Linked DNA regions of Drosophila melanogaster. The gene in region 1 interacts genetically with each later gene. Each region holds a gene or a part of one and is shown on either strand. Other genes may lie near its edges.

Evidence for each region.
Region 2: of Rab7 (region 1) and l(2)gd1, changing one suppresses a phenotype caused by changing the other (phenotypic suppression), as found in Drosophila melanogaster (one study listed by BioGRID).
Region 3: of Rab7 (region 1) and EndoB, changing one suppresses a phenotype caused by changing the other (phenotypic suppression), as found in Drosophila melanogaster (one study listed by BioGRID).

The regions. Positions count from the first base shown.
Region 1 is NT_033777.3:23,991,292-23,995,044, reverse strand, and holds the start of Rab7 (Rab7), read right to left. Parts: upstream 2,038-3,753; 5' UTR 1,905-2,037; intron 1,867-1,904; exon of another isoform or gene 1,769-1,866; intron 1,313-1,768; exon of another isoform or gene 1,226-1,312; intron 1,100-1,225; 5' UTR 1,044-1,099; coding exon 864-1,043; intron 800-863; coding exon 443-799; intron 382-442; coding exon 295-381; 3' UTR 1-294. Other genes in the region: Epp (ecdysteroid phosphate phosphatase), read left to right, coding at 2,249-2,361, 2,507-2,747, 2,803-2,998, 3,170-3,271. UniProt on the Drosophila melanogaster protein: Small GTPase which cycles between active GTP-bound and inactive GDP-bound states. In its active state, binds to a variety of effector proteins playing a key role in the regulation of endo-lysosomal trafficking.
Region 2 is NT_033779.5:11,105,205-11,108,957, reverse strand, and holds the start of l(2)gd1 (lethal (2) giant discs 1), read right to left. Parts: upstream 2,016-3,753; 5' UTR 1,894-2,015; coding exon 1,837-1,893; intron 1,750-1,836; coding exon 151-1,749; intron 93-150; coding exon 1-92. Other genes in the region: Reps (RALBP1 associated Eps domain containing), read left to right, coding at 2,745-2,891, 2,947-3,351, 3,434-3,753. UniProt on the Drosophila melanogaster protein: Phosphatidyl inositol monophosphate binding protein involved in endosomal protein sorting through regulation of the endosomal sorting required for transport (ESCRT) pathway.
Region 3 is NT_033778.4:19,308,922-19,312,674, forward strand, and holds the start of EndoB (endophilin B), read right to left. Parts: upstream 1,745-3,753; 5' UTR 1,632-1,744; coding exon 1,554-1,631; intron 1,393-1,553; coding exon 895-1,392; intron 778-894; coding exon 742-777; intron 663-741; coding exon 472-662; intron 311-471; coding exon of another isoform or gene 106-310; intron 1-105. Other genes in the region: Rgk1 (Rad, Gem/Kir family member 1), read right to left, coding at 3,676-3,753.

The DNA.
Region 1 (3,753 bases):
TACACAGAGCATACTTATTCATTGAACGGTTACTTAGGTCGTAGGAAAGTGGGTATACTGGTTAAGCCTTTGCCAGAGGCTCGTTAAGACTCAGCTGATGTTGATCTGAATCTGAACTTTGCATCCTATCAGTTAATTAATTACTATGCTGTTTTGCTGAAATTGTTTTACTTAATCATATAACACCTTCCTCTATCGTCCTTTGTGTTGCTTGCTTCTCATGTTCATTATTATGTTGGAAATATTATTTAATAATATAGATTGTGTAATTATCCATTTTGCGTTGTTGTTACATTAGCACTGACAGTTGTCAGGATTGCCAGGACGATTGTTTTGCGAGCCCAAGGTAATCTGATCGGGGAAATCGTTGATAACTTCAGCCTGTGTGAAAGTACAAAGTTCGATTTAGTATGGAAAACAATATTTAAATAGGATTTCTTACCTCCGCCTCCAACTCTAACGCATTCTTGGCTATAACTTGAAACGCCATCTCCACGTTGATGCCCTCCTTGGCGGACGTTTCGTAGTAGGGTATATCGTTCTTAGATTGGCACCATTGCTGCGCTCGACGCGTGGACACCTGGCGGTTGTCCAAATCCACCTTATTGCCCAACACAACGAAGGGGAAGTGATCGGGATCCCGTGGACTGGCCTGTATGAGGAACTCGTCGCGCCAGGAGTCGAGATTCTTGAACGAGTTGGGCGCCGTCACATCGTAGACAAGCACGCAGCAGTCGGCTCCGCGGTAAAACGCCACTCCAAGCGACTGGAAGCGTTCCTGACCAGCAGTGTCCCAGATCTGTTATTGAAATTTTGCGAGTTATGTCACTGAAATAGGATTACTGGAAGTTCATAGTGCTTACCTGCATTGTGACCACTCGGTCGTTGACCACCACCTCTTTCGTGCAGAAATCAGCTCCGATCGTGGCTTTGTATTGGTTGGAGAAGCGTTTGTTTACATACTGATTCATCAGAGAGGTCTTGCCCACACTGCTGTCGCCCAGAATGATGACTTTCAGTAGGGATTTCTTACGTCCGGACATTTCGATGCAGTTTGTGGCGTTGGCTTACTCGGGGTTATTTCTTTTGGTATTTGGTGCTGAAAACCACAGAATATTATTGATTGTGTGTTAAAAATACCATTGCGGTTTCCTCTAATTCGATTAGGAAGTGTAGGGGTGTGATGGTTTCTTTCCTAAGATAAATGAAAGTGAACTGCGCAAACCTCTAGAGTCTAAACTACATGCCAATGAAAGCCGTAATCTCTGCCAGGACCTGACTGCCTAAGTGCTCGAAGTGCAAGCCATTCGCAGCTGTAAAATGTTTGTAATGACGAGCAGTTGTGCTACGCCGTGCTGGGTGATAAACAAATCGGGTGAGTCACTCTGAGCAATCCGCAGTGTGTGATCGCTGGACTGTGTGAACAGGCGGTCAGTAGGGGAGGGAGGTGCCCGCATCGAGGCGATAAAGCGTGATCACTATTGGCGCAGCGGAGAAAGTGCGCTGAGTACAGACAAAGACGAGGTCGAGCTAATAAAGCGGGTCTGGAATACCAGGAAAAGTGCCTGGGAAAACGCCCATTTCCTCAAAGTCCTCGATGGCAGGGGGAGTCACTATGGTGCAATCGAAAATAGTGCGAAAGTGGACTCTCCAAAGGGAGATAAACTCCCCGCCCCCCTTTTTTAGACCATGAACAACTTGTTTTTGTGCTCCACCATTACAACTACGCCACTAATTGCGTCGGTGTGCGTGGGTCTTTGTTGTGTACGTTTTTCGAGTGTGCGTGTGTATGTTTGATGTGGGGCTCCACTGGCATTTTCCATGCACTTTTCGCCTGCTGCGTAACACTCTTTTTAACGCTTTGCTTTTGCTATTCGCCTAATTCCTTTTGTAGTGGCACTCACTTTGAACACTGGTGAACACTCCAAGAGCTGTTTCTTTGTGGGGCGCTTCGGTTTTACTAAAAAATATTCAATTAATTACGCAGTGAATTTTGTTGTTGTCTCGCTAGGAGAATCGCTCTCATCTCTACTGGTCAGTACTGGTTATCGATAGTGCAGTCGTGTTACAGCTATCGGTAGAAGTTGACTATCTTTAGGCTGTCGTTAGCCAACACTTTTTTGTGGCCAATTAACGAATTGTATCCTATTTTTGTTGAAATTATCACTGAAAAATATTGAACAGCCAGGAAAAACCAAAAGCTGCTAAACGGTGGTCACCTGGGCTTACATAGGAGGCTATAATCGAAATGGCCACGCTTCCGCCGCGTAAGAGTCAGACCCCTACGAGGATCTGCATCTCTAAGCAGCATCTGACGCCGCTCCAAACATTGCTCCAAATGGGGTTTCCCAGGCATAGAGCGTGAGTTTTCTATGCATAGCGTATTGGCAGTCACCAGCTGCTCTAGGTTCCATCCAAGATATAGTGGCTATGCGTGCGAGTGACCCACTATGTTGATTTGTTTCATAGAATCAGAGTATTGATTTTTTTGCTTACCCCTACACAGGGAGAAAGCTTTGGCTTCAACTGGTAATCGTGGTGTCCAGATTGCCTCGGATTGGTTGCTGGCACATGTCAACGATGGCACCCTGGACGAGTGCGCCCCCAGGGAATATATTATATATGCTTGTCCCACGGGTCCGTTTCTGCAGCAGCTGGAGGAGTTCTGGGCCAAGTCGCGCCAAATGTGCGGTTGGAATGGAGCACACAACTACGTGCCTCACATAACCCTGGTTTCGTTTTTTAAAGTGAGCTTAAGTTGGATTATCCAGACTTTATTTATTCACCTAATCGAAATTACAGGCCCCCGATGAGTGCTCGCTGCAGCTGTCCAAGGCGCTCAAACAGGTGGTGGACATGACGGGCGCCTTGTTGGATCGCCCCCTTAAACTGGAGCCCTACATGAGTCAAAACTTCATGGGTTTTTTCGTGGCCGAGGAGGATGCCAACTATCTGAAACGACTGGCCCTGCAGTACGTGAAGGAGGTGTCCAACTCAAGTACGAATTATCCTTCTGTTGGTTGCACTCTCTTTGGGTTGTTTTGGTTTACCTTTCTCACGTTCTGTTCGATTCGGTTGATGGTTTTCCATTTTTCGGAGTGGCTTACACGGTTATGTTGTTCTCCTCTCTTCCTGCACACTTCTGGATAATCTGGGATATGCTGCACAGTCATTAGCGATACCTATGAGCAGTTGGACGCCATTGTGGCCTGCTTTCCCTGGTGCGGTGCTGTCTCCTCGGGCACCCGCTGCATTCCGCGCAGCAGTCGATGTAAGCCATTAGCTAGAGCCATTAGTTTGCATAAAATCGTTTTTGATTCACCCAAAAGTACACTTTCTTATCACTCTATGCATGCTTTAGTTGCACTGGTAGATAAGTTACTAATCTAATCGCCCTTTTGGCGAAATTCAACATGACGCTGCTAATTGTAGTTAATTAGTAGTAACTGTAGATAGCAAGGTGATCGATGTTTTTGGTAGCTACATAGTTAATTTGTTTATACCCCGTTTCATTTGTTTGAAAAATATTTCAGTTTATTATTAAAACCGATTAGTGTCACTATATATACAAAAAATCTTTGATTATTAGAAGACCAGAACTGTAGTTGATAAGCCCGTGACGTTTGGTTTTGCCCAAAGATAACTTTAAGTGACTATAATTCCTTATCGAAAAACATCGATTCACCGTGTTAGATACGAAAGCATATAACCAGCACCGCCTTCATTTCCATTCAGTAATCGTTTGTTCCGCCT
Region 2 (3,753 bases), on another chromosome or scaffold:
TCACAGATATCATCTGTCGGATCGCATTCCTCAGCAGATACAATGGCAAAGGAGGCTTCTAGATTATCCCTTTGTGAAGGCGGGACGGGAAGCTGAAAAAAAAAAATATATAGTTAGCCATACAAGAAGAAGATGTAATGCAAAACTTACAGTGCTGAGGTCCACTGGCAATCCACTACTCGCTGCATTAAGAAGGGAATCGAATCCCTTGAAGATCTTGAGGTACTCCTTCGCCTGATCTATTTCTCCCGCTTTTTTGGCCTCTATAGCAGCTAGCTTAAACTCCTTTTGGCGCTCGAGGAGCAGTTTCATTTGTTGCTCGGCAATATTATTCTTCTGCTGATTGCCAGACGTGCGTGTTGTTAACTCTTTGGGCTTAGGAGGTGAAGGTGCTTTTCGAGGAGCTGTAGGTGTCGTCGCACTGGAACTGGAGGGTGTTCCTCCTGCGGAAGTACTTGCTGTTGGCGGTGGAGATGTAGGCGAAGTGGGCAGCGACGGTGTCGGCGCGACAGGAGCAGCATCAGCCGTAGGCAGCGGTCCAAAACCTGGTGGCACAGGCAGCTCATCGTAAGGCACTGGTTTGCCTGCCTTGTACAACTTTATGGCATCTTCGTATTGCTTCACAATCCTTCCAAAGCGTCTTGCTTTTCCGCTATTGTTTTCTGCCTTGGCTGCCGCTTCTACAGATTGATATTTCTCTAAACGTTGCTGCAGAGCCTCCAACATATTTGTTGCAGCTGCTAGAACAGGAGCAGGAGCAACAGGTGTGGGTTCTGGGGCAGCAGTAGGTTCTGCGACAGCTTCTGCGGCTGCTTCTTCTTGCATTTTTTTAAGGAATTCAAGAAACTCAGCTGGTGGAGGGGGCATGTCACTCAAATCAACTTCCTGTCCGTCTTCACACATTTTTATAACTACGTCAAATTGCTTGACCACTTTGAGAAACTGAAGGGCAGTAGATATGTCACCACTGCGCTTAGATTGCAGTGCAGCAGCTTTGTAGTCCGTCTGGCGGCTGCGCATTTGCGTCACAAGAGGATTAGGGGGAGATGTGGGAGCCACAGATGTAGTGGGCTCCACGGGGGTGCCGGGGGTTGGTGGATCTGGAGCTGCACGACTAGGCACAGGCGGAGGGGAAGCAGGTGTGGAAGGAGCTGGTGACTCCTCTGCAGGCACTGGAGGAGCCTGCCCGCCAATTGGCTTTACACTGACTTCAGGTGGAATGTCATCCACGTTAATGGACTTGCCAGCCGCTGCCTGCCTGTGCAGATCTTTCAGAGTCTTAAGGCCTCTTCCAAATCGCCTTGCTTTGCCAGAATCGCCGGCAGTCTTGGCATTGGCCTCGGCCTGCTTGTACATTTCCAGGCGCTGTTTGATAATGCTTAATGTGTCCACAGTCGTCGTGGGCAGAAAGGTCTGGACGGGTTCCTCAGAGGCAGCTGGCGGTTGTGCGACAGGCTCCTCTTCCTCTGCCTCCTCTAGACCACCGATTCCGCTCAGCTCGCCAAGAAGATCCGGATCGCTTTCCAAATTGTCATCATCATCATCGTCGCTGACATCACGCAAGCTGTCGGCTATCATTTTGTCCAAATCACTGGCGGGTAACAGCTTTGCTTTGGGCTTGGGCTTTGGCTTGGCTCCTTCTCCGCCGGTTATGGCCGCAAGCTCTGCCTCCAAATCACTGTCACCCCCATCGTCCTCACCATATCCAGCGCTGGGATCAAAATCATCTGGGATTTCCGTAAGACCGAACTAAACACAAAAAACAAAAAAGACAGTCCAAACGATGAGTCATAATTAATAAATAGACGGATCTAGACTGTTTGTTTTTCCTCTCACCTGCGATAAATCGTGTTGCCTTCTTTTCGCTGGCTCTGGCTTCTTTCTGGAGAACATCCTTGATTGCACAGAGGCTGTTTATTAACTAAAATAAGTCTATAAAGACTTTCAAATCCTTTAAATTTTTGCGTCGCAACAGTTCAGCCGCAGACAACAATAACAGAGTGGGGATCACTGTGGTGCAACGAAAGGTGACGCAGGAAAGTCTTTGCGAATTGGTGACGTCAGTGGCACAGGGCTACAGGAAATTTGTTGACGGTTAAAAAAATATCGTTAAAAATAATGAAGAAATGATTTTTTCTTCATTCAGCAACATTAAATTTTATTATAGTTTAATCCATAATGAAATATAAATGAACATGGTAAGCCACCTTACAAAACATCAATCCTGCGGAACTAAACTTTTGCCGGTAACTAGGGCTGCGAAACGCTAACAGGTACAGGGCTGCCGCGCCAGCTGTCTAATCGAATCGATACCGCAACCTATCGATATCGAGAGCCAGCGCACACACAGTGCAAAAGAGTTTGCGAAAAAAAACCTGGACAAAAAGCCAAATTGATTGTGCGCCGAGCAGCTTGAGGCACTAGGTGTACCCTCGTCGACCAGTGCCGTGAATCCTCTAACCATCGTGGTTGTGGTGGCACCAAGAAGTTAGCGAAACCATCGTCCCCGCAGTTCTCCCAGCTTCCACCTCCTCCAACTCCGTCTTGGGGGCCAAAGGCAGAAAATCATCAGACTTCTGGTTGTGAGCAGCGCGGGGCAGCGGGGTCGGCACTGGCCTGCTGGGTTAAACGTGGAAGTAAACAAACGAATTGGATTCCGGGTCCAGGACGGACGAACGGGGCGTGGCTCGTTAACCAGCGGCTTGGTAAACGAAACCAGAGACGGCAACAAGTAGGCGACAGGCATGGACGTGTCCCTCACTGAGCCGGAGACGCGCTTCTACAGTGAGTTGTTCCAATGCTGCGACGTGGAGAAGACAGGCAAGGTGCCCATGCTTAAGGCCACCGAGCTCTTTCGCTCGGCGGACATCGCCAATGAGACCGTGATTGAGGTAGGTCCAATTTGTGTGATCGTGAGTGATTAATTATCTGGGTCTGGGCTTATAGATCACCGGTCTGGCGGGGATACCCTCCACGGCGCTACACATCTCGCGGACACAGTTCTACTCATGCCTGAAGCTAATCGCTGCTCATCAGGCGGCCATGCCCCTGCGCCAGGAGCTGATCTTGGCCACGTTTCCGCTTCCATTACCGCACTTTAGCTGGAAGGAGGCGGTTACAGCTCCGGTGGCTGTCGAAAATGGATTGACTGCCTTGCCACCGCCACCACCCACAGATCGCAGAAATTCACTGCGTCGTAACTCGCAGCAAGAGCAGCTGCAAGACACCTCTGATGTGCCCAGCACCGACTCCGAGGTTGAGCAAAACGAATCAGTGGACGATGCGACAGGCCATGGACGAGGTACGGATGGCTGTGGGGTCGTCAGCAGCAGCAGCCGCGAAAATGTCGGGGTTTGTACTTCTATCTTATCTTGTGACATTTGTAAATAAGCTTACCATTGACCGATCCCCGTCCATGCCTTATCTCTTTTAGCGACGACGAGGAGGCGGTACTGGTGGTGGATCGCCAGAAGCCTGGAGCACTAACAGTGACAGCCCCACGCCCACCAACAGCGTGGCTGAGCGGCCTTGGGCGCAGGACACCCTCTGGCAGGGTTTGCTGGGCGACGAGCATCGCCAGCTGCTAGGCACGGAGGAAGAGTCTTCCGATCGCCACAGCAGCGACGACGATGACAACGAGAGCGAATTGGTGACCATTTACCAGATAACCCCGGAACAGCGCGAGTACTATAATAAGCAGTTCAGGACGGTGCAAAGGGATCCGCATGGTCTGCTTTCGGGCCAAGCAGCAAG
Region 3 (3,753 bases), on another chromosome or scaffold:
ATAACAGCAACCTATCTAGTACGTATGATTTGAAATTAAATGCTAATGTTAACTGGGCATGGAATCCGATTCGATATGAAGATCACAATAACAAGACCCCTAAACTGTGGAGACGGCTGTCGTATCGAATTCTATGTGAAAGTCTTCGAGCAGATTCGTAAGCGACTTGTCCAAATCGGGATCTGGATCGCTATCTAGGGCTATCCCCCCTAATGAATCGGAATCACAAGAATGCATCGACACCGAGCTGGGAGGCCCACAATCAACGTCTTCGCTATTGATACGCAGGCGTGGCTTGGGATGCTGCATTCTGTAAGACCACAAGCAGATATCATAACGCACAGTGAGACCACCAGAAGGGACCACGGGTTTCATCAAGGATGGGACATGGTGTTTTGGTGTGCAAGAAAAGATTCGTTTGGTGCCTACGTGGAAGTCACAGTCATTCTCTATCGATCGCCTACTACTTACTTGGCCAGTTCACGCTGCAGCTGCTCCATGACATCGCCGCACTGCTTGTAGTAGCGCACTTGCGTCTGGATGAAGGCGTGCAAGTGGCGCAAATGAGATGCCTGCGATGTGCTGATCCCGTCCAGCAGCAGCTTGGTAATCTCCGCCTGCCGGTCGAACTCGGCCTGAGCCACCCGCAAGTCCCGTTCCGCCTAGAAAAAATCGCAATTAGAAATTGGCTCATTGATTAGCCATAAATCTAGAGCACGAGCTCGGTCAAGGTTTTGATACCTGTTCCAAGACGGCCTCTGGCGAGATGCCATCTTTCTAAAAATTCCGGGCAGCAGAGGGCAGAAAAAGACCGTGAGTGAAAAAGCCATTACGAAACCCAATCAATCATACCCCCTTGCAATAAGGAAACCCCATCAAATCCCACCCACTTACCGATTGCTGACCCAGCATGCTGCGCGCTTTCTTCACCCTGTTCTTGCAGGCGTCCAGATCCAGGCGCTTGGTCTCCAGGATGCCTCGCTCCTTGCCAATTGTCTTCATTTCGCCGTCTAGGAACTTGCGCAACGGCTGTGTAAAGCAAATGCCCGAGGTGGCTATAAAGTCGTGCTCGCACTGGCCCAGTTTCTGTTCCGCTTGGCCGACCTTGATCAGAGCCTGACCATAGGGTAAATCCTGCCCGAAATCGCCCCCAGCCTCGATCATGTCCAGAGCCAGGTGCTCTAGGTTGCTCAACCTTTTTGGCTTCGACTTTTCAATCTTCTCGAAGATGAAGTCTTCGACCCGGTTCTGAGGATTGGGTATCAGCACCGACTCTGTGTCGCGCACTATCTTCTCCGTCCATGTCTTGGTCACATCAGCCCGCTCGGCGAGATTCTGGAAGTGCAAGTCGTACTCGGTGCGCTCCGTGGTGCCCAGTTTCTCCTCCGTGAGCTGAAAAGGTCATTGAAAACAATGGAGAGCCGTTGAAAAGGGCAAAGAAACAACGAAAGTGCTTGAGATTGGTTTGGGGTACATCTGTCATTTGCCCAACCACCGAAAGTTCACCACCACCCGCTTTTTTTTCAGCCACCCAAATTCATTGATTTGTTCACCTGCACCACTCGTGATATTGTGCTGCCCGCCTCCTTCACCAGGTTCTTCACATTGAAATTCGGCAGATTTATATTCATTTTTGCCGAGAGGTTCGCTAATTAACACTGCCGTTGATAAAGTTTAAATTTAAATTCCGCTACACAGCCCAATTTGTTTGTATTTATTTCCTCTACTTCGTAGTGTGACCCATTGTTTCTCCCAGGAATATACCAAATATACCGAAGAATTCCAACTGGAACAGAGTTCTAATTGGAAATACTACTATTGAGTAAAATGTAAAATTGTATTAATTTTTAATTTATCATAGCTTTTTCTTCTTTATTCTTCATGTAAATGGTGAAACGAAATTTACTTCTATTAAACAAATGCCACGACATCAAAGTAGATAACAATTAAGCTGTCTGTTAGCAAATACATACCTACATACTATGTAAGCTAACAGTTTCGGTAAATCAAGTGTGGTGAGTATCTATATAGTAACGAAAGCTACTATGGCAAGCTTTAAAAAATGTGAACGTTTGTACAATATAACATAGTCAATTAATCATGATATGGATGAAAATCATTTTTCAACATTTAAACTAATTTTTACTTACCCTGCTTGCAGACCGTGCACCTTGTAATTAAACCCCCAAAATAAAACACGATTTGGAAAACATTTAAATTTAACTTTTCACATTTAATACACACTCATTAGACATATATTATCGGAGCGGAAAAATTAAAACATGCATTCAATTGATAACTTTTCACCACTCTGCTGCTTCTTACATTTATGGCTGACTTTCGCTTTTCCTTATACATCATATGACAATCTGTGCAAAATCGAGTGTGCTTTTATCACTTTCCTATATAGTTTTCGGCTCGAATTCATATTCATTCATGTTGAGCGAGAATAATACACAGAGTTCTGGACAAAAATCAATTACAGCTATATGTATATATTTTAACTATCTGTTATAGATCGGATATCTTACACACATGTTAGGATGCACGTATTATTTGGGGGTTTCCTTGAATGTTCCAAATCCGTTAAATTCCATTGTGCTGCAATTGTTGGTGATTATAATACTTAATGGACATTTATAATACATTTAATGGACATCTAGATTGTTATGGAATAGTTGTGTGATTTGCCCTACACTACTAGTGTTCACATTAATAGTTAAAAATCTACAAATTCTCGATCCGACCTCAATATTTGATACAGCAGGTCGCATTGCACACGTTAACAAAATGGTTTTGCTTAGGCTCTTGATTTAGTGGACCATGTGTAAAATCACATATTGCATTAATGTAAAACTACGCTGACATGAACCTAAAAGTAGCCCTTGTGTAAATCTAGTGTTTCTTTCGTATTTCTGCTATCTTTGATTAATTTTGAAATGGTCCCGACTAACTTGAGAAACCTAGGGCGTGCGGATTGTGGGTGCACGATGGGCTTCTTTGTTTAAAAAAATGGTTTTGTTTAACAATTACGGCATAATAATCCCTAGGTCTATTTAAGCAAAATTGCACAATGTGGTTAATATAGTTTCTGGTTTGCAATCGATCAATTATATTATGAACTTTTAATTCAATCAACATTCATGTGAATATTTATGCCATTTTAAAACGAGATTCAATGCCATTACAAATGTATAACTACACGTATATAATTAACAATAAGTTTCATTCGGCGGACAAGCGCCATATCTTCAAAAAATCAGTACAATTGGTATTCATTCGTCCACGAACAAGGGTAAAATATTATTTTCTCATTTTAAAAATTATTGCTTTTTATTTGGATTCCTTTGTATTACGATTTCTTTCAATCAAAAATATAACTAATTTATTCCAGTCGCCGTATTACAACGAGCATTCAAAATTATCCCAACTCATGCTTAGAGGAAAACGAAAGAGCATAAAAAACCAATTACAAATAATAGTTTTATATTTAGACAAACTATATACAATGATTAATGGAGGAAGTGACTAGCGTAAATTAAGACTAAAATTATACACAATATGTACAGTTGGGAATAATACCCCCGGTAGTAGTCGAGTCTGTTTCTTCTTTAACTTAGGATCTTGCATACTCTATAGGAAACTTGTGGGTTACACTTTGGATAATCTCTGTGCTTAGAGTACATGCAGATTCTCGCAGCTCTTCGACTTGGAGTCCCGAGTCCACACGCGGCCCAAAAGTCCCTTGACTTT